Linked DNA regions of Astyanax mexicanus. The protein of the gene in region 4 interacts with the protein of the main gene of each other region in a biochemical or structural test. Links are inferred from orthologs where the notes say so. Each region holds a gene or a part of one and is shown on either strand. Other genes may lie near its edges.

Evidence for each region.
Region 1: the proteins of snta1 (region 4) and cysltr2b interact in a test that uses a peptide from one of them, tested with the Homo sapiens proteins (2 studies listed by IntAct, with this or other methods). The link is inferred for Astyanax mexicanus from reciprocal best matches to the Homo sapiens genes SNTA1 and CYSLTR2.
Region 2: the proteins of snta1 (region 4) and microtubule-associated protein 4 interact in a test that uses a peptide from one of them, tested with the Homo sapiens proteins (2 studies listed by BioGRID and IntAct). The link is inferred for Astyanax mexicanus from reciprocal best matches to the Homo sapiens genes SNTA1 and MAP4.
Region 3: the proteins of snta1 (region 4) and mcm7 interact in a test that uses a peptide from one of them, tested with the Homo sapiens proteins (2 studies listed by BioGRID and IntAct). The link is inferred for Astyanax mexicanus from reciprocal best matches to the Homo sapiens genes SNTA1 and MCM7.

What each region holds. Positions count from the first base shown.
Region 1 is NC_064425.1:22,199,473-22,207,195, forward strand, and holds the start of cysltr2b (cysteinyl leukotriene receptor 2), read right to left. Parts: upstream 3,005-7,723; 5' UTR 1,850-3,004; intron 632-1,849; 5' UTR 606-631; coding exon 1-605. Other genes in the region: rcbtb2 (RCC1 and BTB domain-containing protein 2), read left to right, coding at 6,748-6,873. UniProt on the Homo sapiens protein: Receptor for cysteinyl leukotrienes. The response is mediated via a G-protein that activates a phosphatidylinositol-calcium second messenger system.
Region 2 is NC_064413.1:25,210,737-25,218,733, reverse strand, and holds the start of microtubule-associated protein 4, read left to right. Parts: upstream 1-4,980; 5' UTR 4,981-5,096; intron 5,097-5,395; exon of another isoform or gene 5,396-5,579; intron 5,580-7,997. UniProt on the Homo sapiens protein: Non-neuronal microtubule-associated protein. Promotes microtubule assembly.
Region 3 is NC_064426.1:61,525-69,162, reverse strand, and holds the start of mcm7 (DNA replication licensing factor MCM7), read right to left. Parts: upstream 3,017-7,638; 5' UTR 2,841-3,016; coding exon 2,810-2,840; intron 1,443-2,809; exon of another isoform or gene 1,339-1,442; intron 647-1,338; coding exon 567-646; intron 480-566; coding exon 315-479; intron 227-314; coding exon 102-226; intron 15-101; coding exon 1-14. Other genes in the region: cohesin subunit SA-3, read left to right, coding at 6,630-6,682, 7,340-7,436. UniProt on the Homo sapiens protein: Acts as a component of the MCM2-7 complex (MCM complex) which is the replicative helicase essential for 'once per cell cycle' DNA replication initiation and elongation in eukaryotic cells.
Region 4 is NC_064412.1:8,278,248-8,286,210, reverse strand, and holds the start of snta1 (alpha-1-syntrophin), read right to left. Parts: upstream 3,019-7,963; 5' UTR 2,948-3,018; coding exon 2,665-2,947; intron 1-2,664. UniProt on the Homo sapiens protein: Adapter protein that binds to and probably organizes the subcellular localization of a variety of membrane proteins. May link various receptors to the actin cytoskeleton and the extracellular matrix via the dystrophin glycoprotein complex.

The DNA.
Region 1 (7,723 bases), on a different chromosome or scaffold from region 4:
GGCAAGACAAAGCCCATGCCCAAAGCGCCTTTGTTCAGAGTGATAATGGTTTTCACCAAAGAAGGGTCTAGCTCCAGACATTTGATATGGCCAGATGCATCCTGACTTGTCCCGGCATCTAAAAGAGGGATCGAGGCCAAAGACACAAACAGCCACACGAAGACGCATACCACCACAGCTCCTCGACTATTCTGTAGGTACATATAGGTGTATGGTTTAATAATTGCCACAAAGCGAACTATGCTGAGCACCATTAGAAAATAAACGCTCCCATACAGGTTGATGTAGAACACGAAACCCATGAAGCGACAAACAACATCTCCAAAGATCCAATGGGAGTTCATGAGATAGTAGACCGCTCGAAAGGGCAGTGAACACACCAACATCAGGTCAGAAATCAGGAGGTTTAGCATGAAGAGGTTAACCGGGCTGAAGGACTTCATCGTCCTCCTCACTCCGATGAAGAAACATAGTGAGACGAGGTTGGCAGTCAGTCCCAGGAGGAAGATAGATAGGTAGGCAGCTGGGTAGACACTGCGCTTGAAGGCACCGACTGAGCAGTTGCATTCAACAGTAACCGTGAAGTTCAGACACGGCTTAGTCATCGTAGATCTTTGGTCTGGTAAAAGTCCTGTAAAAATAAATCAGGTATATAAGATTATATTAGAAACAAGCTGAGACAAATATCTAAAACAAATGTCAGGTGACGATATACAGTAATAAAGATACTAGAAACTAAAAAGTGCATACACTAAAAGGAATGCATAATGGTTGTGCAGCTGAATGGGAGAACAAAGGATATACAAATGATAAACAGCCCTAAAGCAGTGCATGCAGTTAGTTTGCTGTGAGGAAAATTAAATTATAAGGCATGGGCTTGGACAAAAAGACCAAAAAGGGAGCGAATGGGAGGAATGAGGGATGATAAAATGACAAATATATATATATATATGGACCATACTAAGCACAATAAGATATTACACAAATAAAGTACAACACAACACACTACATAGATTTCTAATGCACATATAGGAGAAGGTGTCCTGTGGGTACACACTGATGCTGAGGGGTATGCAAAAGTTGTGATTTTGTTGTTGTCCTCAAAACACTAAAACAAAACCTTTGAATTAATGATTTCTTTTAATAGAGAAGAATCCAATGTAATAAAATAGAATAATATATATTAAAAATTAAACCTGTAAGTGTTAATGAACTTCAAACTAGAAGGTTAACAAAATGAAATACAGTAATATCTACTTGTAAATAATAATGTGGATATTTTATATTATATCAATGGATGGAGGGTTGAATATTTAATTTGTTTAGAAAAAGTGAGGCCAACAAGTTTCCAATTAAAAAAATGGATGTATACCCATTGTAATGGACTTGTTCTCTCATTGTCAAAGACCAATGAAATAAGGCACATAATACAAAGCACTTACAAATAATACAAAGCAAATATATAGAAATACACCCACCTGAGATATTGAACTTGAAACTAGAAGGATAACAAAAAGACATACAGCAATTTCTACTTGTAAATAATAATGTGAATATTTTATATTACATATCATACCATATATCATTGCTGTTTCTCCAAAACTGCAATTTCATCGGAAAAGAAAAATCCTTCTTAACATTTAATAAAAGTTAATGTAAAGGATTTAATTTTATTAAGTCAATTTGAAGCATTTCTATTTCAATTGGCACATTTTTTTCTGTGACAGTGACAATATTATACGTTATTATGGTATAATATTAGTCCTGTGGTATATTGTAATGTTCATGTAGAAATGTGAGATATTTACAAAATTAAAGTAAAAACAGCAACAATAGAATAAAAACTTACCTTCTAAGGTCTGCTAAAGACTGATGCTCACATTTAGATCTGTGAGGATCCGACTGACACTTTCACTGAAGAACAGTACTGGGAAAAGAACCACAAGCAGCTTCTTCTCTCTCAGTGTGGTTGGCTGAGGCTCTGTTGCAGCTCCACCCCATGAACTGCACTGCTCCGAAACCACTATCAATTTCTTACAGGATTACTGTCAATCTACAGACTGACTGATTGCACTTATTGATAAAAGAAATCTGTAATCATGTAAACATCAGTTTCATGTACATGTAGTGCATACTCATAGCTCTCTGGATAGTCCTGTCTGCAGAAATGATCACCATGCCTCAGAAAGAGTTAACAAAAAATCATACCTGATGCCAAGTTAAACCCTTTGCCTATAAAAGGTGCTTCAATCACACATGTTCCTGCTTGTTTAAGAATGCTGCTTATCTTTTTCACAGCTTAATGCTGTAAGACTGAAAGTGTATACATGAGCCCCCCACCCCACCATTTTCTTTTCCAGAAAACTTTCACAAGTGCTGATCTTGGTCCAAAACCTGTGACCATACATGAGAATGTTTTGACTTCCACTGAAATTCTACGGAGGTGGATGAAACGCAGACACACATAAATGTGTTGCAAAAGTATTCCCCAACAATAAACATGAATAATGTGTCCAGGATTTAAATAGTACTATTTTGAAATCTGTTTGCACCTTTAGCATTTTCTTAAATAAGCTATTTAAATAAGATATTAGCGAAACACTGCAACATTGATAACTGAACCATGAGAACGGAAACAATAAAGAAGTCCAAGGAAAAAAACACAGTAATAAATGATAAACTGCTTAAAATGCTTAATTTGAGAATAAACACTTTCAGCACCCCCCAAAAAAATCAAATATAATGAGCTCTGACATTTGGCATCCTGCCTTTTCTGGGACAAAAGACTTTCTATTCAAGAGAACCACAAAGGCATATTTGGATTTCATTAGAAAACCAAAGAAATGACCTAAATAAGATGTGGGAACATATTTTGTTGCAATTTAAGAACAAAATATTTAGAAAATGTCTGACTTTCAAGATATGTGAATTTAGTAAAGCCACAAAGGTTTGAATCATTTTAGTAAAAAAATAAATAAATAAAATCTTGGCCTCGCTTTCTTTGGGTAGGTGTTCCCTCCAATGACTGTAGAAAACATAGAAAGCACAATATCTCTAAAAAGTGAAACCAACACAGTGCCTCTGCTGGAAGGCTGCAGTATAAGGACAAAACAGCTAACATCTATTTCTTTTCCTCTAATAATCTGCATTGTTTAATTTTAACAGTTAGTTTGTCCTGCAATATGGAACTTGCGGGTGCGTCTGGATCCACCTCTGTCCTGCACATATCACTGAGCTGTTAGTGTCCCACCTTGTATTACTTCTAGGGGTGTCCGACCATTGTATGCAAAAGCACCTCAGATTATCACACCACCATGCAATGGTGCAGTGTGTCGCTCCAAAGCAGCGTTGAAGCACAAGGCCTCCATGCTCAAACCTGATCGTCATCAAATCCCACACAGAATTTGGATAAATTTGCAAAGATGATATGGTTCTGTAGGAGTTTAAGTACTTTGTTCATGACACCACTGCAAATAAGTAATGATGACTGGCTTAAAGAGTTTTTCAATTGTGAATTTGTAAAAGGCCCCTCTTTAAGTCTGTCTACTGTGTAAAATACAGAATTACAATTGAGTGCACTGTTGAGGCATCACTGCCTAGCAGTCAATAATCTCTCACCAGGAGGTACACTACCCAAATGTCTGAGAGTCTTTTTGCGAGCCAACAGAGAAAGGACTATTTTAGTTTCCTTCTGGCCAATTGAGTATGTGGTCAGACCACACCTATAGTCATTCACATACCATGCCAAACGTTTTAACTCGAATCATTGTGCTAATCATTGAGCTCAGGTTCCAGATACTTCCATGGCCACACCTGTACAGGTGTACAAAACCAAGCATCTAGGCATGCAGACTGCTTCAACAAACATTAGTGAAAGAATGGGTTGCTCTCAGGAGTCAGGGAATTTCCACGTGGTACCCTGATAGGATGCAGCACTTGACGTAACATATTCCACAGTCAACTGTCAGTGCTATTACAGATCTGGAAAAAAATAAGAGACCCCTTAAAGATGAGTTTCTTTGATTTTACCAAATTGAAAACCTCTGGAATATAATCAAGAGGAAGATGAATGATCACAAGCCATCAAACCAAGCTGAACTGCTTGGATTTTTTGCACCAGGCGTGGCATAAATTATCCAAAAGTAGTGTGTAAGACTGGTGGAGGAGAACATGCCAAGATGCATGAAAACAGGGTTATTCCACCAAATATTGATTTCTGAAATCTTAAAACTTGAATATGAACTGAACTGAAGCTGTATAACCTAGTGGAAGAGATTTTAATCTGGGTGGGGTTCTCCGCATCCCTATGATGAGTATGGACAAGTATAATAAAGTGTTCATTAAATGTATATATTTAAACACAGTATATGGAGACTTTAATTTTTTTTCATTTACAGGTTTTCTTGACATCAATTGAGAAACAAAAGTAGTACCCTCGACCATCCGAGTAGGGTGTTTATGGAAGGAAAAACATGAAGTGTTAAAGTGACACCAAACTAATTATTTACAATTGGCACAGAGACCTGTTAAGAAGACAAGGCTACTGCTTTAGTGATGTGAATGGGGCTCCTCTGATAGAAGCACAGTTCTCAGTGAGTCCTAAGCTGGTTTTACTCTTTAGTTGAACTTTAGCTAGCTAACTAGCTAACGAACATCTCCAGAAGCGAGCAGAGCGTCTCCTGCATGATGTCAGCTGTGTGAAAAACATGCCTCTCCTCTCATCATCCGCTGTGAAATGAAGGACTGATTCAGCGGGCAGGAGAATGACAGCAGCCGGCTAGCTGCTGAAAACTCCCTGGAATTATCGGACCACTTTCCTTTGAACGAGCCTGGATTTGTGAATGGAAACGAACCTGAACAAATACATTAAAGCACCCTGTGGCTGAAAGCGCCGGCGTTCATTTTATAACACGAGGTATGTTGACGTTAACTTTTTTAATTATGTGTTGGCTGGTTAGCAACGCTAGCTAGCTTGTTGAGTTTCTGTCGAGCCTCCTGTGTAGCTTCAAAACAAGCCGGCTATAGCCAGCTAGCGAAGTTAGCAGTATGTTAGCTAGGTTAGCTAGCTAGCTAACTTATCCAAGTACTTGAGCTTTAGATATATCTGTGTTTTTAACAGATTGGGCTGATATGTGTACAATAACTAGCAATATAGTTAGCTAACAGTTATATATCGTGATAATAATAGCTCGTATTAATATTAGGTGCTTTAACTATACGGCATTTCTCAATTTAGCAAGCTAAGCTAGCTTCCCATCTATCTAGCTAGCTAGCTAGCTTGGCTGTTTATAGAGCCTCAGTAAAATCTGCAGGTAAATCGTTACTACAGCGATACAGTACCGCCAGCTTTGATTTTAAACTGCGTTTCTGCCCATATTATCCCTGTTTTGTGTAACTACATGGTGTAACGTTAGCCAATCATATACGTAACTATGTCTACCTAACTTATATAACAGATAGCTAGTTAGCTTTATTAGTTAGTTAGTTAGCTAGTTTTGGGATGTACGAAAAATAATAGCTTAGTTTTTGTAGCCCACTTTATTCTCGTCAGTCAGCTGTTAGTCACATTCAAAGTTGGCTTAATATAAATAATAGTTTGACAGCCTGGGGACAAATAATAGACTAAAATCACACCAACCCATATTAAAACAATTCGGTATCCTACCCATAAATGTTCCCTTTAACTCGTTTTGTTGCTTAAATGCACGTTATCAAATGGATTTTCGTACCCTTTAATACTGTGAACGTGGCCAATGCTGCAGTACACTTGGGTACTGCAGCACAGGGGTACAGTCATTTTACCAAAAGCAGAGGCCAGCACATTTTGCTGATTCCCCTACTGTAACAAACTTCATAATCCTGCACAAACTTCAGAAACCTGACAGTTAGCTAACAGGTGAGCAGAAAGATATGTGTTTTGAGCAGGAAAGTCACAGAGCTGTGCAGGTATTTGCACCTCCTGGTGCACAATATTACCCCTAAAAAATCAAGGAAAAATATTTAGCTAATTACTGTTCTATTGCTTTATTCTCATTTTGGTGGTTAAACAAGACTAAAACAGTTAACTGTAAGTGTAAGAGAGCAAAAAACACTTTCTTGTTTTGTTTTATTTTATTTATTTATTTATTTTTCATTTTATTTCTTTTATTTATTTATTTTTTCTTAAATTTTCTCCTCAACACGGCCAATTACCCAACCCACTCATTAGGACATTAGGACTCCCCCTATCACTAGTAATGCCCCAACACCAGGAGGGTGAAAACTAGCACTGATGCAGCATTGCCCAGTAGCATCACTCGGTTTCGATACATCAGCTCACAGATGCATTGTGCTTATCAACTTCTCTGTAAGAGTGATGTGGGGAGAGAACGCCATCTACCCACTCAGAGAGAGCAAGGCCAATTGTGCTCTATAGAGCAATTGTGCTCTATAGATGGCGAGCTACATGAACAGGATTCGAACCAGCAATCTCTTGATCATAGTGGCAGCTCGCTGGAGCATTCAGAGCCCACTTTCTTCTTTTGTTATTGGTTAACCTGCCCCAAAGCCTTTTGCTTGAGTTATGTAATATTTTGTGGCTTGTGTATAAAGTTGCAGTTCGAAAAGTCTCAAGCAGTTAAGTCAAGTGTTCAAACGGCTTGAACGTCCAAAACTGTTTTAGACCAGGGTCCAATGGCCGTACATCCTGTTCTCCTTGCTTGAGGAAAAAATGTTTGTGTCTGTTTATCCTGTTTGTTGCAGAGTAGCATGCTAGACGTGGGAAAGTGGCCAGTGTTTGCACTTCTGCCTCCTGAGGAACTGCGACTCATCCGCCAGGCCTGCGTGTTTGGCAGTGCTGCTAATGAGGCGCTTTACGTTACTGTCAATGATGAGGTATGTTTTGCTTATTAAAGGACAGTGCTTGTGTGTGATAGCCCTTCAAATATAGGTAATCCAATAAATTGAATGAAGTAATGTCCGTAATTGTTTGCAAAGACTGTTTCAGATTGAAATACTATGGGTCCGATATCAGGGTTTGAGAAGAGGGAAAGTTGCCACACACACACACACACACACACACACACAGAGAGAGAGAGAGAGAGAGAGAGAGAGAGAGGAGTGTACTAAGCAGATAGAGCTTCGCTATATATAGGCCTGTAATACACCACAAGCCTTGTTTGTACCCTGAGTAGTGTGTGTGTCACTGGAGTCAAGTTTTTTCCACTAGACTACTATAAAGTGTAATTTGTGGTTTGGAACACCCAAATTTAACATATTTAACCATATAAACATTTTGATTATTTGAACAATATTGAGAGAGTGAGTTAATATAGCTAAACTAAATAATGTATCCAATATAAATAGAAATGCAAAGTTAGTACATGTGTATTTGTCTGCACTAAAGTCTTAAAATACCTAAAATTAGAGTTAGGTGCAGCACATCAGACACAGATGATTAGAACTCAAAGGTTGTATATGCCTTTTGAATTAGAGAATTTCATTCTAAGACAAATATTAGAACAATTAAAAATAATTACAATAATTTTAAAGAGAAATGCCTGGCATTACTTAGTTTTATTTGTGGAGATATATTGCCTCCATACCAGTGTTGTCCCCCTTTCCCCTCTTCTTTCTTTCTTAATGGGCTTGTTTCCATTCATGTCTTCTAAACCTTAAGTACAGGCAGTGGAGCAAAGCTTCAGATGATGCCAACCTATTTTTATGTTGGGTTTCTGTTTCCGTT
Region 2 (7,997 bases), on a different chromosome or scaffold from region 4:
GTAAAAGCGGCAAGAGTGCGCAGTTGTAGCAAAACGTGCACGCGCACGCTCTGAATAAGAAAGGAAAAACACAGAAAGATGCTCCAAGTTTAATTTAGACTTGAAGAAAGTAGATAAAATAATATAATAAAAGAGAACATACAATATAAAATATTTTATTATTAATATTATTAAATATAGATTTAAGACACAATACATCAGACCGTTAAAATCCTGAAAAAGAAAAAAAAGCTCTGTGTATATTTTCCAAAATAACCCTGTAAACATAGCATGTAATATGTAGAGAAGTATAGACATGCAATATAGAAATAATAATCAAACGTTGCTTTGAGTCTAAATCTTAGGGCAGTATCTGCTCATTCTCACACCATCTCAAAAAAACTGTCAGACTTACCAGACTGTTAAAATCCTGAAGATAAATATTATATTTTATAATATCCCTGTGATAATAGCATTCAATATAAAATAGGTCAAATTGCACTTTGAGTCTAATCACAAGGCATTATCTTATTAGCTTTAAGTAGTCTTAAAACAAACTGACTGTAAAGACATAAAGACAGGGTGGTTGTCTCCCCTGTAATACAAAGCTCTAAACAAAACAAACAAATTTCTCCTATCAAACATATTGCTTCAGCCTAAAGCACTCTCCAACACGAGGGGAAATCTCAAACAGAAGGAACAAAGAAGTACTAGTAAAACATCTAAAACTAAAGCACAATAGCAAAACATATCAGAGCACAAACCGCCTTACCTTCAACCTGCTGGCTTTAAACGATAGATTTCTACCCAGTTACTCTAGCCTGGACTCTAGTTGCTGATTGGTCGCTAATTGACGATGATTGCTACCAGATGGTGTTTGTGGGCTGCTTTACCTGGAGGAGAAAGAAAGAAACGCACAAAAACACAGTCCACTTAAAAATCGTTTTATAAAGCCTTGAAAAAACTACACGACTTTTTAAGTCTGAGCAAATAATAAACAGACTGGGAATCTCAAACCTGTGGGGAATGAAAAAAAAAACTTCTCACACTAAACAACTAGATAATTTTGTGAAAGTCGACTAGTATTATTCTGTCGTTTTCATAAACAGTCTCATTGATACCCAATACAAAAAATAGTGCAAAACCCAATACTTAAAGAAAAAAATTTGAATGTATTTTTTTTTTAGAAGTTCTGTAATTTGCATTACAAAACCTTTTTTTTAATGGGAGATTTTATGGTAATGTACAATATTACCCAGTAAGCTAGTGTGGATTAACCTCTTTACAGTGAATACAACTAGAAATATAATGTATATACTATCCTGAACATATGTGCAAATAAAAAATAAATTTATTATAAATGTATATGATATCAAAAACAAAGTATATCAAAAAAATAAACTCAGAAAATATTCAAAATGTACAGTCAGATTCACTATTGTGCAATCATCATCATTACATATACACTAACGGTTTGGGTATTGGCTTGGGTAGACTTTACAAGTGTTGCTTCCTATTACCACCACTGTAAATAAGCCATTATTAAATAATCTGTTTTCGAAAATGCATCATCATGGGTTTTTTTTGTTGAAAAGTTGGTGGAATTCCCCTTTAAGCATCGAAAGTAAGCAGGCTGCAGGGTGGGGTCAGCATCTACTATAAAGTGGCCACCAGATGACGATATTACCCCACTTTCCAAAGTAAAAAACCTGGTACTTTCCGGCTTCATGATTACTGACATCACATAATGTCATAAATGCATCAGTGAAAGCAGATTGTGGCATAATTATCCAGAGGTGCATAAAACTCAATAAAGTTAATTATTGCATTATCTGTACTGCTGTAGACTTCTAATACATTTTACTCTTTTGGTATAGTGTTATGTTTTTTGTTTTGTTTTTTGAGTCAAGGGTTTATAAAAATGCTCTGCTGCATATAAATGTAAAATGTACTGTTTGATTTTATTATTTTTATTTTATAGTAAAGATAAATTCTAAATATTGATTGTAAGGTTAGCCTAATCGACAGGGATCAATCCTTGTTGTGGACTGTATATTGCTTTCAGTGGAAAATTTCTATTCAGAATGCTGGGATGTACAAGACTAGGCTCAATCCCTCTCTAGTAAACAGCACCATAAGGTTTAAAGCAGAGAAAGTTCTTCAACACAATAAAATGTTCCTCACAAAAATAGTTTTTCTATGACATTACTTAAATAACTCTTTGAAGTAGACGTATTTTAAGGGAGTATAAGTACAAAAGCAGTGGGTCATTACATGATCACATCAGATGAGGTCTTTTCTACTGTGGGGTACCCAGAGAGGGGGACCTGTTAAGGCACATTTTTGGGCACATCATTTTTTTGCAATAGGGGCACCCTAGCGGACATAGCCATTTTCCCCATTTGAAGGACATTCTATAGGGCAGTTTGTGTAATTCGTGCCACTCTGCCTGACACAAAGGCCCAATCCCCTTTCTCTGTTGTAACCCTTCCCCTTTGAACAGAGTTATAAGCGGAAGGGGTGAAATCCTCTGCCTAAGAATTGGGACAACCCTTCAAGGTTTTGACACTTGACTGCTTCATTACCAGAGGAGGCTTGTAGGTGACCTTGCCAGCCTGATGTAATAGCTAGCTGCTAGTTAATTAGTAAACTTTAGGGCATTGTATGTCTCTAGAATGGGGGGCAGGTGGTGCAGCAATTAATTATTATTGTCCATTCTTCAATTCCACTGTGATGGGGAGCAGACATTAGCTTTAATGTTTCTGTTATAACTTAAATGCTGTATTCTTTTGCACCAATTAATGAGGAAATATTAGCTAGCTAGCTAGCTACTGAGAACTACTAACAATTTTGTATTGCTTGTTCTAAATGAAGTGGCCATAAAACATTAAAAATAAACATTAAATGGGGTAATATAGTGAATATTTTTAAGAAGGAAAATACTTAAGATTTTACCAACAGACTAAGGAACAGCTCCAAACCATCATTCTGTGAGGATGCTCAACTCTCTCCCTGCTTTAGCCCCATCCCTAATTTGCCCCCAGCACACATTCACTCAGCATACTGACCTTAAGCTTTTTTACCACTATATTGCACTAATGTTTATACAGGTTCTGTTTACAATGGTACTGTCATTCCCACTTAATCCCCCTATCACTATTGCACTATTGTCTTGTGTCTCTTGTCTCACGTATGTTGATATCTGTGACCTTGTTGTATTGTACATTTAATGTCTCTCATTCTTTTGTATGTATATTTTTATCTTGCTGTACTTGTAACTTTGGGAAGGAGAGTAATGTAATTCCAAGCCTATGTATGTTCTGTACATATACAGTATTGACAATAAAACTACTTGACTTGACTTGTATAGTTTTTTTTGGTCACTTGTGCTGCCATCTTGCCAGTGATTCTCGGTCCTCTATTTTGAGTGTCTAAAAAAAAATCTCTGTCTGAAGGACCAGAGGGGTAGGGCTGGGGGTGAAATGGGATTGGGCCAAAGACGACTTTTCACAGTGAACAAACAATTTTCGTTTGGAGTAAACCACGTATTCCAATAGATAAATTGTAGCCTTCTTTATGTAGTTTGTAATTATGTAAGCTAACAACACAGGCGATAATACCCTTCGGTGAGGTTCTTTATTAATGACTGTGTGTCTGCTCCAGTGAATTCTCACCCTGAAACTCCTCCACGACCCCGGAGGGTTCGTCTGGTAAACACAGACTGCATGGCTGTCCAGTTCAGTGAGAGCTCCTGACAATCAAGTTCAGAGGCTCATAATAAAAAAAACTGTACATTAAATGTTAAGTTCTTTAGGCTATTCACAGTATACTAGTTATATTTTCATAATGTGGTGTCAAATTCAACAGACTATTTGATAATCTGGAGTTCGGGCAACTGGAAATACCCAGAACAGGCAATGTATTCTCAGTGTAATATGCCCTAAATGCCAAACTCGTTTTGCTCGGCTCAACCCTGCTCTCTACTGGCGAATAATTGGTACTTCGACTTTTTAAGGTGGACCGGAAAATCCGAATAAGACACTGGCGAATAAGACGCCAACTTCAGCCTCGTTGACAATCACTGGGCTGGGGTTCAGTCGTCCCGTAAAAGGAGCTGAACTCCCTCATTGTACGCTGCGGTTGTCTGTCATGTGGGGCTCTCCGCGCTGCGGGACCGGGGAGCTGAAGCAGGCCTAGTTCAGCGCTCCTCTGTGCTGCAGAGAGCTCAGACCTGCCCGAAGCTCGCTGGAGGAGAATATCAGCTGTTTTGAGATACTAATGAGTGAGGTGGAAAATCTAGGTTTAGAAAGGCTTGGGATGGGATTAGTTTTTACTTTCTGGACCACCTCAAATTAATTAGCTATGATTTAGATAGTCTCACTAGGTTACATAAACAACGTAGTTACTTGTTAGAGCTGCGCTGTTAGCTTCTTCCACTGTTTTTTTATTGTCATGCCACAGATTTGTTTCGTTAGTTTACATGTAACGTAGTTAGCTAGGTTAGCTAACATACAACTTTGTACAGAAGGAAATGTTGGTGTTTAACTATCTATGGCATGAGTTATATCTTTCATGAGGATTTTTTTTTTAAATATACATTTGTATTTCAACTTTTTATAATAAACTGAATCAAACATATTGTTTGACATGCAGGAGAGTGTACCTGCTTAATGTTGCAACAACCCTGTACCATTGAGGGTTAATGAGACGCTGACATTTTTAAATAAACATGTTTAAAAAAGGTTAAAAAAAGAATGCTACATAAATAAAACAGTATTTTTCTAACCGGCATCTTTAGATAGTTCCCCTAGCAAGTTAACCTGACGCCCACAACCCTCTGAACACTTTGCAACCCTGAGTTTCTGTTGAACGCGACCCGAGCTCGCATAGGCGTTAACCTGCCGGCTGTCAAACTCGCTCCATTCTCCATTGCGATTGGAGCAACAGAGCTGTCAGTTGGATTTCGAGCGCGCTGATTGGATAAATCCTTTTGGGAGGGCGGGGCTAAGCGCTGGGTCGCTAAGGAGGCGCTGCTGTAGCGGAGAGGGCGGATCATCGCGGGGCTAACGACAGCACAGACACAGCCCGAGAAAGTGTCAAAAACAGTGAACTAAACGGTGAGTGCGACCAAATTACACTGTTTAGTGAACGAGCTTCACTGGGGGTTTGAGGCGAGCTGTTGTTTAATTTCTGAAGTTTGTTTTGGACGGGACGTAGAATTATAAGTAGTTAGCCAGTGAGTTAGCAGGCTAGTGTTAGCTAGCGGGCGAGTCAGCTAGCAGTAAGCTGGTGCAGGACTCAATGAGCGGAGAGTGACACGGCCCGAAAGATATGGCTGTCCGTGAAGTTATGCAAGACTTTGATTTTTCTGTGCAGAGCAGTTCCAGCAGGACAGTGACACGCAGACCACCCTCCCGTGTGTGATCTTATCTTCTCAGTAATCCTCAGCTGTAGTGGAAGTGGGCTGTCACACTCGCTCTGCTGCCTGCTGATGTTTTCAGCACCAAAAGTTTAGTAAAGTTAAGGCCAGCTAGGTTAGCCTGCAGCAGCACTCAGCACGGGGATTTGGAGAAGCACAGAGATCTAGCAGTTAGCTATAGGTGAGTCTCTGCACGCGCTCAGCTACAGAAGCACATTCCCGCCACTTAAAATATATAAAAAAATAAACTGTTAGGTGAATTGCTTAGTAACGATGACGTTATCTCATTATTTTGAGATACAAATGCATTATTTTGGGATACTTGATATTTTGAGGCACTAATACATTATTTTGCGGTAATAAGTAATTTTTCGAGACACTAAGATATTTTTGAGTTAATAAGTCAATACCTTGAGACACTAAATCATAATTTTGAGTTACTAAGTAATTATTTTGTAATAGTAAGTAATTATTTTGAGGTACTAAGTAATTTTGTGATACAAAGTTGTTATTTTAAGATAGTAGGTCATCATTTTTATGTACTAAGTCGTTATTTTGGGATGCTGTCTCATTGTTTTGAGATACCAAATCATTATTTTGAGATAGTAAGTCACAACTGATTTTGAGCTACTCATTTTAAGGTACTGAGTCATTATTTTGTGATAGTAAGTAATTATTTTGATATACTTAGGCGTTATTTATAGATGTTCGTTGCTTTTGGGATAAAAAAATCTGTTTAATTCTTTCTGCAGAGAAGCCTTTACGTAGCTTATGTACAAGCAACTATTACCTCTAAATAATGTCATAGTATCTAATAATAATATTTAATACTTTTTTTTAAGCCTGTTGTCGTGAGCAGGGATTCCTTCATTTTGCTGCTTATATTTCAGCCCATATTACTATAATTGTGCCTTAAGTTGCGCTAAAATACAGATGTTGGTGAATTGCGTCTTTCATCAGACATCAATCTCTTTGCTGGCCAGCAGGATTACAGATCAGTGCTGTCACGCTCCAGCCTCTGAGCCTGGTTGGATGGGAGTATTCAGAGAGAAATGTGCGTTCTTGAGCTTTAATATGTGAGGGTAGGTTGTTTGTAATATGTTGTGTCCAGGAATAGGTAAGACAAGATAATGAACGCTTTCTTTTAATTTGTGTATTAGGTTCAAATTCTTGTAATACCCAATGATACACAATATAGCAGCAAGCGAGCAGCAGCTCAGCAGCACAGTCATTGCAACATACAGGAATACAGCCAAAAATCTTGCCCAAAGTGCAGGGAGCAAATAAATTGAGCAATTTCATTAAGGTATGAAGTGAAAAGAATACTTATGGAGAAAATTATGAAGTTGGCTTAGGAAAACTGAGATATGATTCTCCTGTTTAGCTCAGAAACACCATTTGTATAACTAATTTATTTACAAATAGGCCAACAACTCAGACATACATTGCTAGTTTCAGAATTTAGCTAATATAGAGTTTTAGCTGATTTAGAGTTTGTTTTGCTGTGGAGTGAACTGCTGCTGGTTTGTGTAAAGTAAGGGTTTATTTAATTGATTGTTCAGTAAAAAGCAACATACTTTACTAAAGATTAGATTCTGTGTCTCTTTTTTTATACTGTGTGCAGGTCAGCATTTAGACTTTATGTTTATAGCTTTATAAGTAGTAACATAGAGAAGTAAGATCAACCCACACTTATCAATGACAGTGAAAAGTAAATCACAGTTAATGAAAATGATTGTGAAAGGAAGGAAACTGAAAGAAGTATGCATTTTTGTTTAAAAGATTAGCATGATTAACATTTAACAAAATATATAGTCTTGGTGTTTTTTCTGCAGTGAAACTGTACTTTTTGTTTATCCTAGCATTGAAAGCTTTTTTTTCCCTCAAGGACCCAACAGTAGCAGTTTAGCATATGCAGGTAACCCACAACCCTGTGATCACTAACCCAGCACACTAAGCACTGAGCTGTATTTGTAACTGGTTCTCAGTAATAACATTGTGTCTATGTTCATATCACACTAATAGAGACTGCAGCGATATGAGTATTTTGGAAAGACGCCCATTGTCACTGCTGTTATTGGTTTTAGATAAGATGGCTAAATAATTTCAGATAGTTACCTTGGGTAAGGTAAAGGTTTACAATAATTTGTATGTGTGTGAAAATAATCAGTGTTTAATCTTTAGTCACGTTTTTGCAGTTTAGGCAAAAACATGCACATAAAATATATGTGGTGTAGTTGTTAGTTTATTTGAATGACTTTGAGTGACTATTGCGAACCCCATAACTCTGAGACAAACAAAATTAAGGCGTGGCTACACAAACAAGTGTAATTTAAACATATTTTTTTTAACCAGAAAGATTTTAATAAATTGTTAATGACATCAGTATTAGTCACAAATATGTGTTGCATCCTTGAAATCCCATATAGGTCCATTTGTAGACAAAATATTACAATAATGACTTTTGTCCTTCTGTTTTAGTAAATGACAGTAAAGACAGATAGCTTTGTCACTGTATAACCTGGGGAATAACCAGGAAAAATCAATAAGGAAGACTAACAAGAGAAGGACACTTCAGATCAATGATTGAAGGGCATAC
Region 3 (7,638 bases), on a different chromosome or scaffold from region 4:
GGAAATACACCTCACTGAGAGAGAGAGAGAGAGAGAGAGAGAGTCATTTGTGTTCTTTTTTTATTTTTATGCCCTTAAGCATTAATATGCTGTTCACTCACAATCTTCTCATGAGCTCAGCAGGGTACTGGTTCCTGGGGTCCCTCATGTCGGCGGGGTCACGACCCCTGGTCTCCATCATCAGCCGGTGCTCGATGTAAACGTCCAGCGCATCTTTGGCCACTACCTGCAACACACCAGTTTTCAGTAGCTGCTCAAACACCTCTGAGTGGAATGCTGTGTGTGTGTGTGTGTGTGTGTGTGTGTGTGTGTACCTCTCGCTCCCGGTACTCTGGGAGAAGCTCATGGACTGCATCTGCAAACAGCACTGTGTACCGTTTTGTGTTCTCACACACACTTTCCACCAGCTCGGGATCTTCCTCTGCTACGTCATCCAGGTCCACCACCAAGCCCACCTGCTCCCTGTGTGCCAGGGCCACCTACACACACACACACACTTAGTTGGAGAAGAAAAAGGTGACAGTGCTCAGTGTCGGTAAGACAGAGGGTGTGTGGGTATTACTCACCAGTTGAGCTCCATATTTAAACACCTTCTTTCCAGAATCATCTTCAGAGTAGAACTCCTGCAGGAAGCGCTTGCACTTCTCTACACACACACACACACACACACACATTAAAAAAACTATTAGAACGCCAATTCTAAAGACCTGCCCAATGTAATTCAGATCGGATTGTACCCATTACTGACCCTTACTTATGTTTAGCCCCCCCCCCGCCCCCCCCCCCCCCCCACACACACACACACACGTACCAGATTAAACCACATAAGTGTGTCCAAAATGTCTCACACTTAGTGAAGGGGAGCAGGTGCTACACGACAAAGGAGAAGCTCCCATTGATAAACAGTGATCACGTGGTTTGCACCCTCCCCCACGCGGAGGAGGACCACAACTGCTTATTAGAAGCTTTAGTGCGTCACAATAACCGTGTACAGGTACATCACACGCGCGCGCAGTAACCTTAATAAATAACCAATAACCTTAAAAATCGGTGAACTATCAGAAACTGTCAGCTCCACCTTAAATTAGTGCAGCACTTTCACGCTGGATCCTATGGCGCACTGCTGCTCTAACTGCTGGACTAATTTAAGGTGGAACGTAGAGTTCGAGTTTTCAGCATTTTTTATATTTATATACCCTGTGTGTCAACCCTCTTTATTAAAGCTCGGAACTCCATCTTTAACCCCCACCCCTGCTCCTTTCCGAACAGCTTTTCTTATACATTAGGATTCCCAGCCGCCCTCCTTTTTCCGAGCCCAGCCCCGCTCCGAATACGAACCGCGGTGTGTCGGCGACTGGATCCTGCGGTCTTCTCCGCGCGCCGGGCTGCCCAGGAACCCCGCTGTAAGCGCGCAGAGAGCGGGGTAGAGACAGACGGAGCTCCGCGCTCGCTGCTGTTTTTGTAAACAAAGAAGCACATGGCTCCCGGCCTTCTCACATACTGTGCCCCTCCGCGCTGCTCCAAATAGTGCCCGGATAAACACAGAAGCAACCCTCCCCCAGCACACGCATTCAGACAGGAACAGTAGGACTTAATCTACACTTCAGGACACGCCAGTCTGTTTACTTGTTTACATTTCAATTATAAAACTAACGATGAGGTTCAAAATATAGTAAGCAAAATAACGCGCAGATATTTTATTCCAATATAATATAGAGATCCCTTAACACTACTCCGCATTTACATTAACGATTAATATGTTTACTACTTGCGCGTATATTCTGTGTGTGTCTGTGTGTGTAAACAAACTGCGTGCGTGTTTCGCAGACTCTCACTGCACGTGCTCCTCCGCGCGCCACAGCTCTTTGTTTTACGGGTGCATCCGGGTAACCAGCGCAGATCGAGTCATCCCAGAGTCGACTCCTGCCAGTTCACTCGAAGCAGCTGACCGTACTATAAAAACTCAAAAGAGGAATCCGCTGCTCCTCGGTTTAAAGATCTCACCCTCAGTTCGCAGCTGTGTGATATTAACGACCTTAAATTGTGTGTATAAATTCTATGTTTGGATTTAATTCGGTATTTACTGTTGATCTGAGACGTAAACATTGCGTAGTTGCGTCAAGTTCATTCATATGCTCGGCTCAGACGAACCGACTCATTGACTTATCCGTGCATCCGGGTACTGCTGCTCGTCCACAGCTCTGTAAACTTTACTGGAAAAACTTTAGTCTTTGGTCTAAAACACGGTTTGATCTAAATTAACAGAACTAACTTTACAGCTGCTGCTTATAGAAGTGTGATGAACAGCGGAGCAGGAGCTGTGTGGTTAATAGCGCAGTTAAAGCGCGGCGGGAAGTTAGCCTGCGAACAATGAACACTGCTAACCACAGCTAAGCTAACTAGCTGACAACCACTATTTATTAATCATAGTGAGTCACTAAGGAGAAATAAGTGGAATCGCTCTGATCAACACACACACACACACACACACACCATCCCGAAACTCCCGCTACTAATAAGCTACAAGTCGCTCCACCTTAAGTAATTCAAGTAGTACAAGTAGTTCCACCTTAAAAGCTGCATGACTTACACAGCTAGCAGCGACAGAAAGCTACAGAATTAGAGCACCGTTTAAGGTGGAACGGTCCGTTAGACTAAAACGCTATAAAATGTTTCCACCGGATAAAAGCGTCTTACTCGAAATTAAAAACATTATGTTGTATTAACACAGAATAATTGTCAGTACATGATTAAAAATCTGATCGCCATTTTTCTTTCTCAGATCCTCAGAGTTCCTGCAGTTTCTTACCTTTCTCGGCTAAATAATCCTTCGGTGCCATTTCCAATCGGTCTTTTTGATGTTCAGCCTCCTAAATCGATCCTAAATCGATTTATTCCTTGGAGAATATTGATTATAGGAGTTATTATCTAGAAACGCGAGTGTTAAAGTTTCGTCACTGTGTCTCCGCGCACGCTCCACTCCACACAGCACGGTCTGCGAAAACTGGCGGGAGTCTAACTGCGCTGCGGACCAATCACAACAAGAGTTCTGAAGGTATCATCCAATGAGAGCAAAAGGATACGTACACACTCCACCAATCAGCGATAGATTCTTAGAAAAGACGGGCGGGGATTATGTGTGGCGCGAAAACTGAGAGATACGTAACACACCGCGTGACCTTGTCGACCAACCACGTTCTGAACTGTAATGGCGCCAAAAATGTCAGGGTGAATCTCAATTGGCTCTTTGCTTCCTACGTATGTTTTTTTTTAACTAGTGCACTAAATGCAGTTCCATTTTTGATTGTAGAAGTCGTGCACTATGTAGGGAGCGAGGAGTATTTTTTTATCAACAATCATATCTCTTAAATATGGAAGCCCATTCCCGCCACCTAAAAAATAAAAATAATCCAGCAAAAAAAACTATTATTATTAAGTAAACTGCTATCTCAATATTTTGAGACACTATCTCTATATATTGAGATACTAAATCAATATTTTAAGATACTAAGTCAATATTTTAAGATACTAAGTCAATATTTTGAGATACTAAGTCAATATTTTAAGATACTAAGTCAATATTTTTGAGATACTATCTATAGCTTCTTATTCGCCAGTGTCTACTTCAGATTTCCGTTCCATCTTAAATGCTGGCTGAACATACATACGGCCGCCTGTAGATGGCGCATTTTAACAGTAAATAACAGCATGTAAGCAAAGCGCTATGCAAACGCTCTGAATAAAGGAGAGAACACAATGCGAGGGACAGAGATTAACTCTGAGTGAAATATAATGTAAATAAAATTAGATGATATGAATTAAAATGTTATTGCTTTCACTTTTGGCCTAATTCCCAGGTCATTATCTCTTCAGTCTTAAGTCGTCTAGAAAACTATCATACCTATTACACAATACATAAGACTGTCAAAATCCTGAAGAAGGTCAAATATTACTGATTTTTTTCACAATGATCCTGTGAGCACAGCCTGTAATATAATATAAATTAATTAATATTAAAAATAATGGTAAAATAACACTTTTCGCCTAATTCCAAGACCATTATCTCTTCAGTCTTAAGTCGTCTCACAAAAATGACTGACACACCTAATACCCAGTACCTCACACTAATAAACAGTACCTCACACTGACAGTCTGACGTATTGAGTATTAGGTGCGTCAGTCATTTTTGTGAGACGACTTAAGTCTGAAGAGATAAAGGTCTTGGAATTAGGTGTAAAGTGCTATTTCACCATTCATTATATTATATTACATGCTATGTTCACAGGGTCATTATGTAAAAAATCCACAGTAATATTTTTTCTTCTTCAGGATTTTTTATAGTATCTCAAAATATTGACTTAGTATCTCAAAATATTAATATGGTATCTCAAAATATTTAAATAGTATCTCAAAATATTGAGAAATATGTGAACTAATTCTGTTTAAATTGTGCTTAAAACACACCATTTTCCAACACAATAAATCCAGGAATGCTTTATTTTAGAAAGCAATTAATCACACTCATAAAACTAACATACATTTCCAATAACTTAGTCTAGTTTATTTTTCTCATCACATTAATTTGTGTTTATGTTAAATATTTATATAACCATTTATATTAATATTTATTAAACCATACACTACCTCCTGATTATTTTACAGCATCGTAAAAACACTGTTGCGTATTTAAATTTTAATCCTTAGTTCCTATCTTATTCTCTTTCTTTCACACTGTACATCTTACCATTTATATATATTCATTTATTGTATTTGCATTAATGTTTAAATTGTATAATTCTTATGTTGTAGATATTTTTTTTGTTTAGTTTTTATGAATATGGTCAAACAGACATTAAAGCGCTTCCCTACTCTCATGAGTCACTGCTTCTAAACGTGATTTTTAGCAAATATGTTATTTAGTCAGTATTTTAACAATGATATATGATATAACCCATTTACTATAATGAAGAAGATGAGGATTACTGCTGAACATCCAATTAAAAACAGCGGGCTCGTAGCTTTTTCTCTGGTTGTGTTGCTGGGTAGAAACCACAAAACAATCCATCAGCGTTTACTGGACGCTGTTATTGACCAATTGTTTTCTAGCGTTTGCTGCGCCGTTTTGTCCAATCAGAACTCGCTTAAAAGCGCGCCTAAATTTAGCCGTTCGGAACCAAGAGATCTCTTTCAAACTGAGCTAGAACCAGAACCGGGGAAAAGTTCTGCTGCAAAGGAGAACCGGGTTCCTCAGCGCTCCTGAAACTGTAGAACCGCTCATCTCACAATTTCTGAGGTAAATTCCCCGCTCAGAGCCACTAAACTCGACCGTGCTAATGCTAATCTGCTAATTAGCTGCTGCTAGAGTCCTTTTCTAGTTCTAAAACTTTAACTAGCGTTTTACAATAGTACAGCTTATTCCTACAGTATTTTACAATAGTACAGCTTATTCCTACAGTATTTTACAATAGTACAGCTTATTCCTACAGTATTTTACAATAGTACAGCTTATTCCTACAGTATTTTACAATAGTACAGCTTATTCCTACAGTATTTTACAATAGTACAGCTTATTCCTACAGTATTTTACAATAGTACAGCTTATTCCTACAGAATTGTACAATATTACAGCTTATTCCTACAGAATTGTACAATAGTACAGCTTATTCCTACAGAATTGTACAATAGTACAGCTTATTCCTACAGAATTGTACAATAGTACAGCTTATTCCTACAGAATTGTACAATAGTACAGCTTATTCCTACAGTATTTTACAATAGTACAGCTTATTTCTACAGTATTTTACAATAGTACAGCTTATTCCTACAGAATTGTACAATAGTACAGCTTATTTCTACAGTATTTTACAATAGTACAGCTTATTCCTACAGTATTTTACAATAGTACAGCTTATTTCTACAGAATTGTACAACAGTACAGCTTATTCCTACAGAATTGTACAATAGTACAGCTTATTTCTACAGTATTTTACAATAGTACAGCTTATTCCTACAGAATTGTACAATAGTACAGCTTATTTCTACAGTATTTTACAATAGTACAGCTTATTCCTACAGTATTTTACAATAGTACAGCTTATTCCTACAGAATTGTACAATAGTACAGCTTATTTCTACAGTATTTTACAATAGTACAGCTTATTTCTACAGTATTTTACAATAGTACAGCTTATTTCTACAGTATTTTACAATAGTACAGCTTATTCCTACAGTATTTTACAGTAGTACAGCTTATTCCTACAGAATTGTACAATAGTACAGCTTATTCCTACAGAATTGTACAATAGTACAGCTTATTCCTACAGTATTTTACAATAGTACAGCTTATTCCTACAGAATTGTACAATAGTACAGCTTATTTCTACAGTATTTTACAATAGTACAGCTTATTCCTACAGTATTTTACAATAGTACAGCTTATTTCTACAGTATTTTACAATAGTACAGCTTATTCCTACAGAATTGTACAATAGTACAGCTAGTGATTTAATGTGTTTTACCTTTTTTCAGTAGAATTAAACAATTTTAAAAGTCCTTTGATATGAGAGGTAAAGCTGTTACCCTCTCTGTTTTCCAGCAGGTTTTTGTGAATAAAGGGAAGAGCATGAAGTATGAAGAGTCTGACCGGGACAGGTAAACTGGTGTTTAAAGCCTCTGGGAACATGTACGCATATATTTTGATATTATGATATCAAATGTGGGTGATATGTGAGGTATGAAGAAAAAATTTAATAGAAAACTTGAATTATAATTTTAGTAAATCTTTAAATTTACCAACCTGTACTCATCACACCTCCCTGATGTTTTGTTTTATTATTTGTTGGGATGTTTATGAACATGTACATCTCTCTTTGACAGGACAACTCACAGCCAACACACACAACATTGGGGCACTGATCCACTTTTTAAACGCCATATTCTACATCAAGAGAAGAACAACACTGGTGAAATACACCATGTTTACTTAGCTTTATGTCACTGAGGTGCTGCATTAATCTTAATAGAAATACATCTCAGATCTGGAATTTAACTCTTTCCTCAAGTCTTTAGTGTCATGTTAATCCTGTTAAATATAAATTGTTCCTATTCCATTTAGTATGAAAGAACAATACCCACACCAGTAACATTAAAACAATTCTTAACTGATATTTCTAAAAAAAATCTATGGTTACTAATTAATCAAGAGGATGACACTTAATTTTAGACTTGAAATAATTTACTGATCAGCTTAGATTTGATCATGATACTGAAATGTCCCTGCAAGTAAACGTAATTTGTGTTTGTTTGTGTGTGTGTGTGTGTGTGTGTGTGTGTGACACAGTAGTAGTCCTGAGGATCTGGACGATGTCTCAGATGCAGACTTCAAGCTCCAGCTAAGAATCTCAAAGAGAAAACTGGACATGGCAGTGGAAACAGCAGTATTTTCATTTGCTTTCTCATCCATACTTTCACTCACTTACACTCACTCACATTCGCCTCAAATTAAACTCATTTGATTACACACACTCGCTCACTCTTGCTTTCTTGTTTTCACTCACGAAAGTATGGAGTACTGAGAGAGTTTTCCACTACGTTTTCGATTTTTTACGCCAAAAAAAATTATGTCAGTCGGTCTTAACA
Region 4 (7,963 bases):
ACAATGTAAAGTAGTTGGAGTACAGCTCCTATAACAGTGTAAATGAATGTATAAACTAGTTGCAACCAAAGTGAGTACATCCTTACATACAAACTCCCTTCCCAGTGTCATGTGACTCACTAGTGTTACAAGTTGTCAGGTGTGAATGGGGAGCAGGTGTGTTAAATTTGGTGTTCTCGCTCTCACACTCTCTCATACTGGTCACTGGAAGTTCAACATGGCACCTCATGGCAAAGAACTCTCTCTTTCTCAACTATGAGGAACTGAAAAAGAATTGGAGCTCTAAAATAAAGATGGCCTAGGTTATAATAAGAATGCGAAAAAGTTGAAATCAGGCTGCAGCATGGTTGCTAGGGCCATCCAGCGGTTTAACAGGACAGGTCGGCCAAAGACACACAAAAATATATACACAAATGTTTTCATAAAATTCTGTATTCTTACCAAACATCTACTGCTATTGACTCAGCGTTTGTCCTTGCTACTCGTTTTTAGGTAGTATCAACATGCATTCCAGGTGTCAGTGTAAATCTGTGAGCTATGGTCTAGAATCTGTGAGCTAAGCCCTACTGATCCACAAACATCTACTAGCAGAGTAACACTGGTAAAGCTCTACGGATGACCTTTCCATGTGAGAGCAATCCTTTTGCAAAGGGCAGTCAACTGCAAACATGAACTGCACACAGTTTTAACGTATTGTATTTGTCCTGTGGTTCATTTTGATGCATGGTTAAGTGTATATTGCTTTATTAATAACACATTAGACTAAGACCTATTAGATAAGGTTGTTCTAGTTAGTTGGAAGAAGACCTTACTAAGTTCTACTAAGTTTTTGTTCTCAGTTAAAGGAGGTAACAAGTCGTTAATTTTTAAACAAAGTCGTTTAGAATGGTTTGGTGTGAAATGCCAGTTGAGAAGCAACTTAAATGTTCATAGCTCTGGTGACAGAAACCAGACTTAATAATAGACTCTAATAAAAAAATTTCCCTTTCACAATGTTTTGCATTTAATGGTTGTGAATACAGTGCAACATGCCTGAGACACTGTTTAGCAACAGGTTTTAGATCAAATTTATGTTTGTCCTAAAACATATTTCAATTTTAACTTTTAGTCTGTGGAGAATTCATGGCAGGTATAATGAGGCCTAATAAAAAGCTTATAGTCTTCAGTTTGTAGTTTTTAGTTTTTTTACCCCCAATAGTTTCCAACTGGAATTCATTGATTTGTAGATTTTATAAAGCAGCTGGTGGTTTTGTTCGGTCAATAAAATTGGCTTTTTTTTTATTGGATTGATTATAATATCGCAACCCCTGGTCCCTGTCATTACCACCAAGTTTTATCTTAAAAGTTAGAAATTTCACTCTAGTCTACTTGATTTTGAATGATTTTGTCTAAGCTACAACTGTACATACCTTTTTAGAAAGAAGTAGAGTTAAAGGAGAACTATTGACTTTAAGTGTAGTAAAACATGATAAAAAGTACTTACATTTGATGAACAACACACCTCCGTTCTTCCGCAGCGTTCAGAGATCCAGAAATTGTAACCGTTTGTCCAAACTCCCTTCAGACAGGGTGACATTTGGCATAATTTTCCCCCTATAAATCGCTTTTTCCACCCCTCCTTGCTAGAATCCGGAAAACCCTGACATTTAAAATGAGGCATTAATAACTTAAAAAGTGCACAAGAAGCTTATTAAAAACCACCGTTTATATCCTATAACGCTTGCTTCAGCTTCGAATGCCGCCATCACATAGACATATATATATATACATAGATTCCGCACAGCCTGTCTGCCACGCTGCTACAATATGCGAAATCTAAGTATATATATGTCTATGTTATTTTCAGTTCAGTGATGGCGTGCTTGGAGCTGAAGCTAGCATTAAAGGATGTAAACAGTGTTTTTTAATAAGCTTCTTGTGAACTTTTTAAAGTTATTAATGCCTCGTTTTAAATGACAGGGCTCTCTGAATTCTAGCAAGGAGGCGTGGAACTACTTTGAGCTGGATAACGGTGGAAAAATCGATTTCTTATCGGGGAAATTTTTGCCCTGTGTCACCCAGTCTGAAGGGTGTTTGGACAAACTGTTAAAATGTCTGGATCTCATTCATCAAAGGTAAGTACTTTTTATCATGTTTTACTACACCAAAAGTCCATTTTACACCGGAGTTCTCCTTTAAGTATGGAAAACACGGTAAGTTGTTTTAAAAAAAAATCTAACATTTCTAAAAAATGTACAAGAAGTGTCTCTAGATTTCTTTCAAAAAGTGTGTGACTGTTAAGAATACATACTAAAAGCTGTCATTATAAACAACCATAAATCCTGGATTGGACTGATTTACCGACTTCATTTGCTGCTATAGCTTTTCTATGGGGAGCTACACATACTGGACAAAGTTATATCTATTAATATCTGTTTCAGTTGAAGCCTAAATCTGTTTTAAAATGTAAATATAGTCCTTCTGACCTTCCTTTCACACTTATTGCCCTTTAACAAGCTGCTACTTCTTTACTTTCGCAAACAAAAAACAGTGTTTCAATGTTTAAAATAGTTTCTTCATAGTTGCGCCACATTTTGGTTTGCTCAACTTCTTCACCGCATCGTTTAGTGATATTCTGAGACATTGGTAATAGTCTAGCTGAGTTTTTCTTTTGAGAGATCTTACCTTTAATGCTGATTCCGAGTCCCCCGACGTCCTGCTTGGTGACCCTCACTGTGCGCTTGACGCTGCTGATGTGTTCTGGGACAGAGGGGCAGCACAGGCTGCTCGGTTCCCCGTTCAGAGGCGCCGGGGCTGGGGCTTTGCTCTTAGCCGGCTCCTCGTTGGCCTCGGCGGGGCTCACGGTGAGCGCGTCCCCGGTCAGAGCCGCCAGGACGCGGCTCCAGCGCTCCACCGCCACGCGCAGCTCCAGCAGCCCGCTTTTGGGAGCCTTCAGCGCGGCCGCCATGTTCACCACGCATTCCTGGAATACCACAGCACGGGCTGGCAGTCCCGTAAAGAGATAGGGGTGGAGAGAGATGCCCAGAGATAGACTCCAACCCCCTCTCTCTCTCTCTCTCTCTCTCTCTCTCTCTCTCTCTCTCTCTCTCTCTCTCTCTCTCTCTCTATCTCTCCCTCTCTCTCTCTCTCTGGTTGATCTCCTAATTGAGATTTAACCAAGCCTGTTCTGTTAACCCCTTAGGCTAAACAATACATGCACTGTAAAAAAATCCAACTTAAAAAAGTTTTAATCAATATTTTAACCTCGTTGATTAAGCAAAAACACATTAAAAGGTAGGGCTGTGTTCCAATTGCATGCTAAACACTACTATAAGGTGCAGTATATAATATATACTAATCTTAATAGTGCGGTTTTGACTGGTTAGCACCCCAAATGTTAATGTATTACTTTAGTATTAGTATTAATTCTGCACTAGAGAGAAATCCCCAGAGATAGGTTAACCCCTTGGGCTGAACAATACATACACTGTAAGTAAGTAAGTTTTAATACATTTGTTTTACCATGTTCATTAAGCAAAAAATAAATAAAAACTAAAGGCTGTGTTCCAAATGCAAACTAAACAATACACACATTGTAAAAATCAAACTTGAAAAGTTTTAATCAACATTTTTACCACGTTGATTGAGCGAAAAGCCATAAAAAGTAAGGGCTGTGTTCCAATTGCATACTAAACACTACTATACACCACTATAAGGTACAGTATTTATCCTTTTTTGTTTTCTCTTGTTGATCTTCTAATTGACATTGACCAAGCCTGTTTTGTTAACCCTTTGGGATACACAACTTAAGAAAGTTTTAATCAATATTTTTACCATGTTGATTGAGCAAAAAGCCATAAAAAAGTCTGAGCAAAAATACAATAAATTACAAATTGAAAAACACTGTAGTGAAAAGTTGATAATGAAATAATGAGTAGCCCAGCTTCATTTGCCCATTTCATTTGCATTCTGAAATACATTGCTTTAACCGACTCACAAGTAATGCTTTTAAGAGAAAGTTGCTTTCTTCAAATATTAATAATTTAGTATTATATATTAGACCTGCATTGCACCTATTCTCTTGATTACATGGAGTAGCTGGAGTTGTAGTGCAATGTATAAACCACACTTTTACCCTTGACGCATTACTTATCTTTCGCATAAATGCGTCTGCAGTGGAAAAATCCTGTTTTTACACTGGAAGCGTAATGATAATGGTGGTCTGAGAGGTGCTTGGCCTAGGAAAAGGGGGCAGGTCAACCAAATAAGCAGGGGTTGATTGCAATTTGTCAACGTGGTGGAAAGTGTTTTGTTTCTATAGAACAAAAGGAAATGGAACTACAGTGTTCATGTATACTAAAGTAATTGATAGGTACCAATCATGCTTGGAGTGCATTTCCTTCATGGACAGTTCTATGCATGCATTTCTGGACAAGCTGAGAGATATGGTGGCATCTGAAATTATGTGAAGCATGTGGACTTAGGGGGTAGAGTAATATAACAGAAAATTATTACAGAATTTTACACAAATATGATTGCATGACGCAGTTCTGGAAGAACACTTTAGACTGAAGCAGTAGTGCTCCAGTCTAATGGGGCAATTCTGTTACAATCAGTGGGCCCATGAGCCCACCATAAAAGAACAAACAGTAGAGAAACACAGGATGGTAAATATGCTTGTAAAAACGTGTGTCACTCATTTACTAATTACACTGTTTGCACTGTTACCTTTGTTTAAGTTTACTTACCCAACATTAATGGTCCACTGTAATATGTTAAGGTGGTACAGAATGTGTCTATTCAATTAATTAATATTCAATTACTATTTTATGTTGCCTGGTTTAAACAACCCCTCTATGAACCGTACTAAAATTATTTAATTAAATAAGTAGGCTGTGTAAAACATTGTAACACTACAAATTGTAACACTATATTTAAACTCACCCTGTCCCGTGGAGACAGTACTGTAGCTTTGTTAGCTCTCACTGCTGTGAGAATAAAGAATCATTTCCAACTAATGCAGTATAAAAGGTATAAAAGGAGATTAAAACAATATCTGTGTAAATAATGAGCCCTCAGTACATGGGCCTTGATTACAACTCAGTAATCAAAAAAAGCTATTTTAAGGTACAAACAGTCCTCAGAGAGAATCTTAAAAAATAGCTGTCCAAATATGGTCAAACTCCACAGACAATGTTTGTATGGGAACAGGAGAAAACGAGCAAAAGCAGGTTCTACTTAAAATGTGTCTACAGAGGGAGTTTAAAAAGCAGGTAAACTTTAAACTGTTCAGAAGAGGATTTTAGTAGAAGGTATGTTGTGATTGGTTTTCTTTATTTTGAAGCTGTATCATATATATATATATATACCCTTGGATATATATCCATTTTCCCTTTCTGTTTAATGAGTCATAAAACACTGTCCCAATTGCATACTAAACACTACTATAAATTACAGTATATATTATGTACTTAATTTAATAGTGCATTTTTAGCAGGTTAGTACCACAAATATTAATGTGTATTAACAACCTGTCGTATTTGTTTATATATTCCCCTCCCTTTTTGCATTTATATACACTATATTGCAATAAAAAAAAAAAAAATTGCTCACCTGCACCTGTAGGCTTGGATGGAGCTGTTCGGACATGGAAACTCTCCATTACATGAGTCTCGCTACTGTTCTCTACTGTTGTTGATCTAATCTGAAGCTACATGAAGTTTGGAGGTGTGTAGTGATGTAGTGACTCTTCTGTAAATATTCTTTTCAATAACCATATGTACTTTTAAGTTTTAGGTTTTTGTGACTCAGAAAGGGTTAATGTTTTTAGAATGTTCTATCAAGTTTTCTTGATTTTTAATTAAAAAAAATTAAGCATTCTGGTAACATTGCTGCAATGTCACTGGTATCAATGTATTAATTTATAGTTTGTTTTTTTTTTTACATTTCTGTAATGTTAGTATTTGTCTATTTGAGAACACTATGGGATAAATGTTCTAATAATGATGCAAACTATTATTATGTCACATGTTTTCATAATGTTCCTGGAACCTTATTTCTGGAACTTTATAGTCTAACCTTCTTGGAACCTTACTAAATGTTCTTATGTTCACTGTTAGCTGGGTACTGTGTTTGGGAAGGCCTACACCTGTATAAGTTGTGAGGTACTATCTTGTAAAAGGGTGAGGCTGAACATTGGTCAAAGTGCTCAAGGCCAGACCTAGGGCAGCTCCAATCCAGATACTTTTAATCAGCAGAAAGCATGTTGTCTCTAGTAAAGTATAATCCAGAATTATACTAATTTAATCTATTTTAACTTTTTTCAGACTTTAAGTCACGTAAAATCTCTCTGACGTGTGGAGGCCGGTCGTTCGTAAAGAAAGACGCAGAGACAAGATAAGAACTCACTGTGTCCATCATCTGTAATCTGCTGGAGTCGTCAGACCGGAGCCCTCCATGGCCATCTAAGAAGGAAAACATGACGATATCTACTTTAAAGCCCATAGTCAGGAGACAGGAGAGGATCTGATTTATAACAAATAACAAATATAAAGAATTAGAAGTCATGCACTGTAAAATTGTCTACCTGTAATTTATTTTACTATATATTTTACAATTTACCATTATTATATTTACTTTTTATGTGTACAGTATTTTACACTGAAACAATGTTAAAGTTGTCTTTTTTCTGGCTTTTATTTCTAAAATTTCTGAAAGGCTCATGATCAGCTTTTCATTAGGACTGTAAATTATTCAGATTGTTTTATTCTGCGGTTAAACTTGATTCTCTTTTGGGATTGTAACAGTTGTATATTAGAAATGAGTGTTTTTAATGTTTTAATGTTGTTGCTGTGGTTAATAACCCAACAAATGTGTAATAATATAGTATAATAATGTAATTGAAATTGCTTTGTCTTTTTGGTCCTCCCCCACCACACATAGTTTACTTTTCCTTTTCAAAACCAGAAATCTGGCACCATGATCTTGGTAATAGATAGATTTTAATGTTTTATTATTATTATTTTGGTTTATTTGTTTGTTTCCTGGTCAGAGAGTTGTACAAAGTAGTTACACATAGTCTACAATATTTACTGTAGTTACAAAGTTTTCATTTACATTTATTAATCATTCTGATTGACCTTTTGGTCAAAATGTTCTTCTTATGATTCTGGCCACTTGTGGTGAAATCTCCTACACCCTCAGATGATCAGATCATTTGATTCGACCCCTTCAGGATAATGGCTTATGTAAGAATGTGATTTTCTTACTAGCTGATTTATTGAACCTAATCAAAATAAAATGTGACAATTTTGATAGCTTTGCAAGATTTGTACTTTTTTATTATAATATAAAGTTTACTCCTTAATAATAAAAAACATATTGCAATATATGAATATATGAATTATTGATTTTTTTTGTCTGCATTTTGTTCTATAATAATTATACATCTAATCCGATGCTAATTTTTAAATTGCCATAACAATTGTCTTAAGTTTTTTTGTGTTTTAAGAAGAGGAAGTTGGCGAATTATAAATATACATTATACAGTTTCTTTGCAGTTATAAACTGTACTTGACATTGGCAGTGATATATCTGCATAAGAATCATTTTATGTAAAATTACCGAAAATGAGACAGCTTTTCAAACAATACTTTTAGGTTAAAATAGTCAGCTAAAAGCTATTAAACACACATAATTTCCACTTTTATCCCACTTTAACAGTTTTTTTTCTTCTTCATAAAACGCAACACATTTTAATAAGCAGTGTACTCTTCATATTTTAACATGTTTTTTTTACACTGCTTATATTGAAAGGCATTACAATCCATGATTAACAGACTAACTCATAAAACCTTACTCTACTATTATATATTTACACTTACGCTGTTGTAGACACACAATAGTCATATAAATAAAAAATGAAATCAAGTCAAATTTATATAGCACTTTTTACAACTGATGACGTCAATAAGCAACTTGGGAA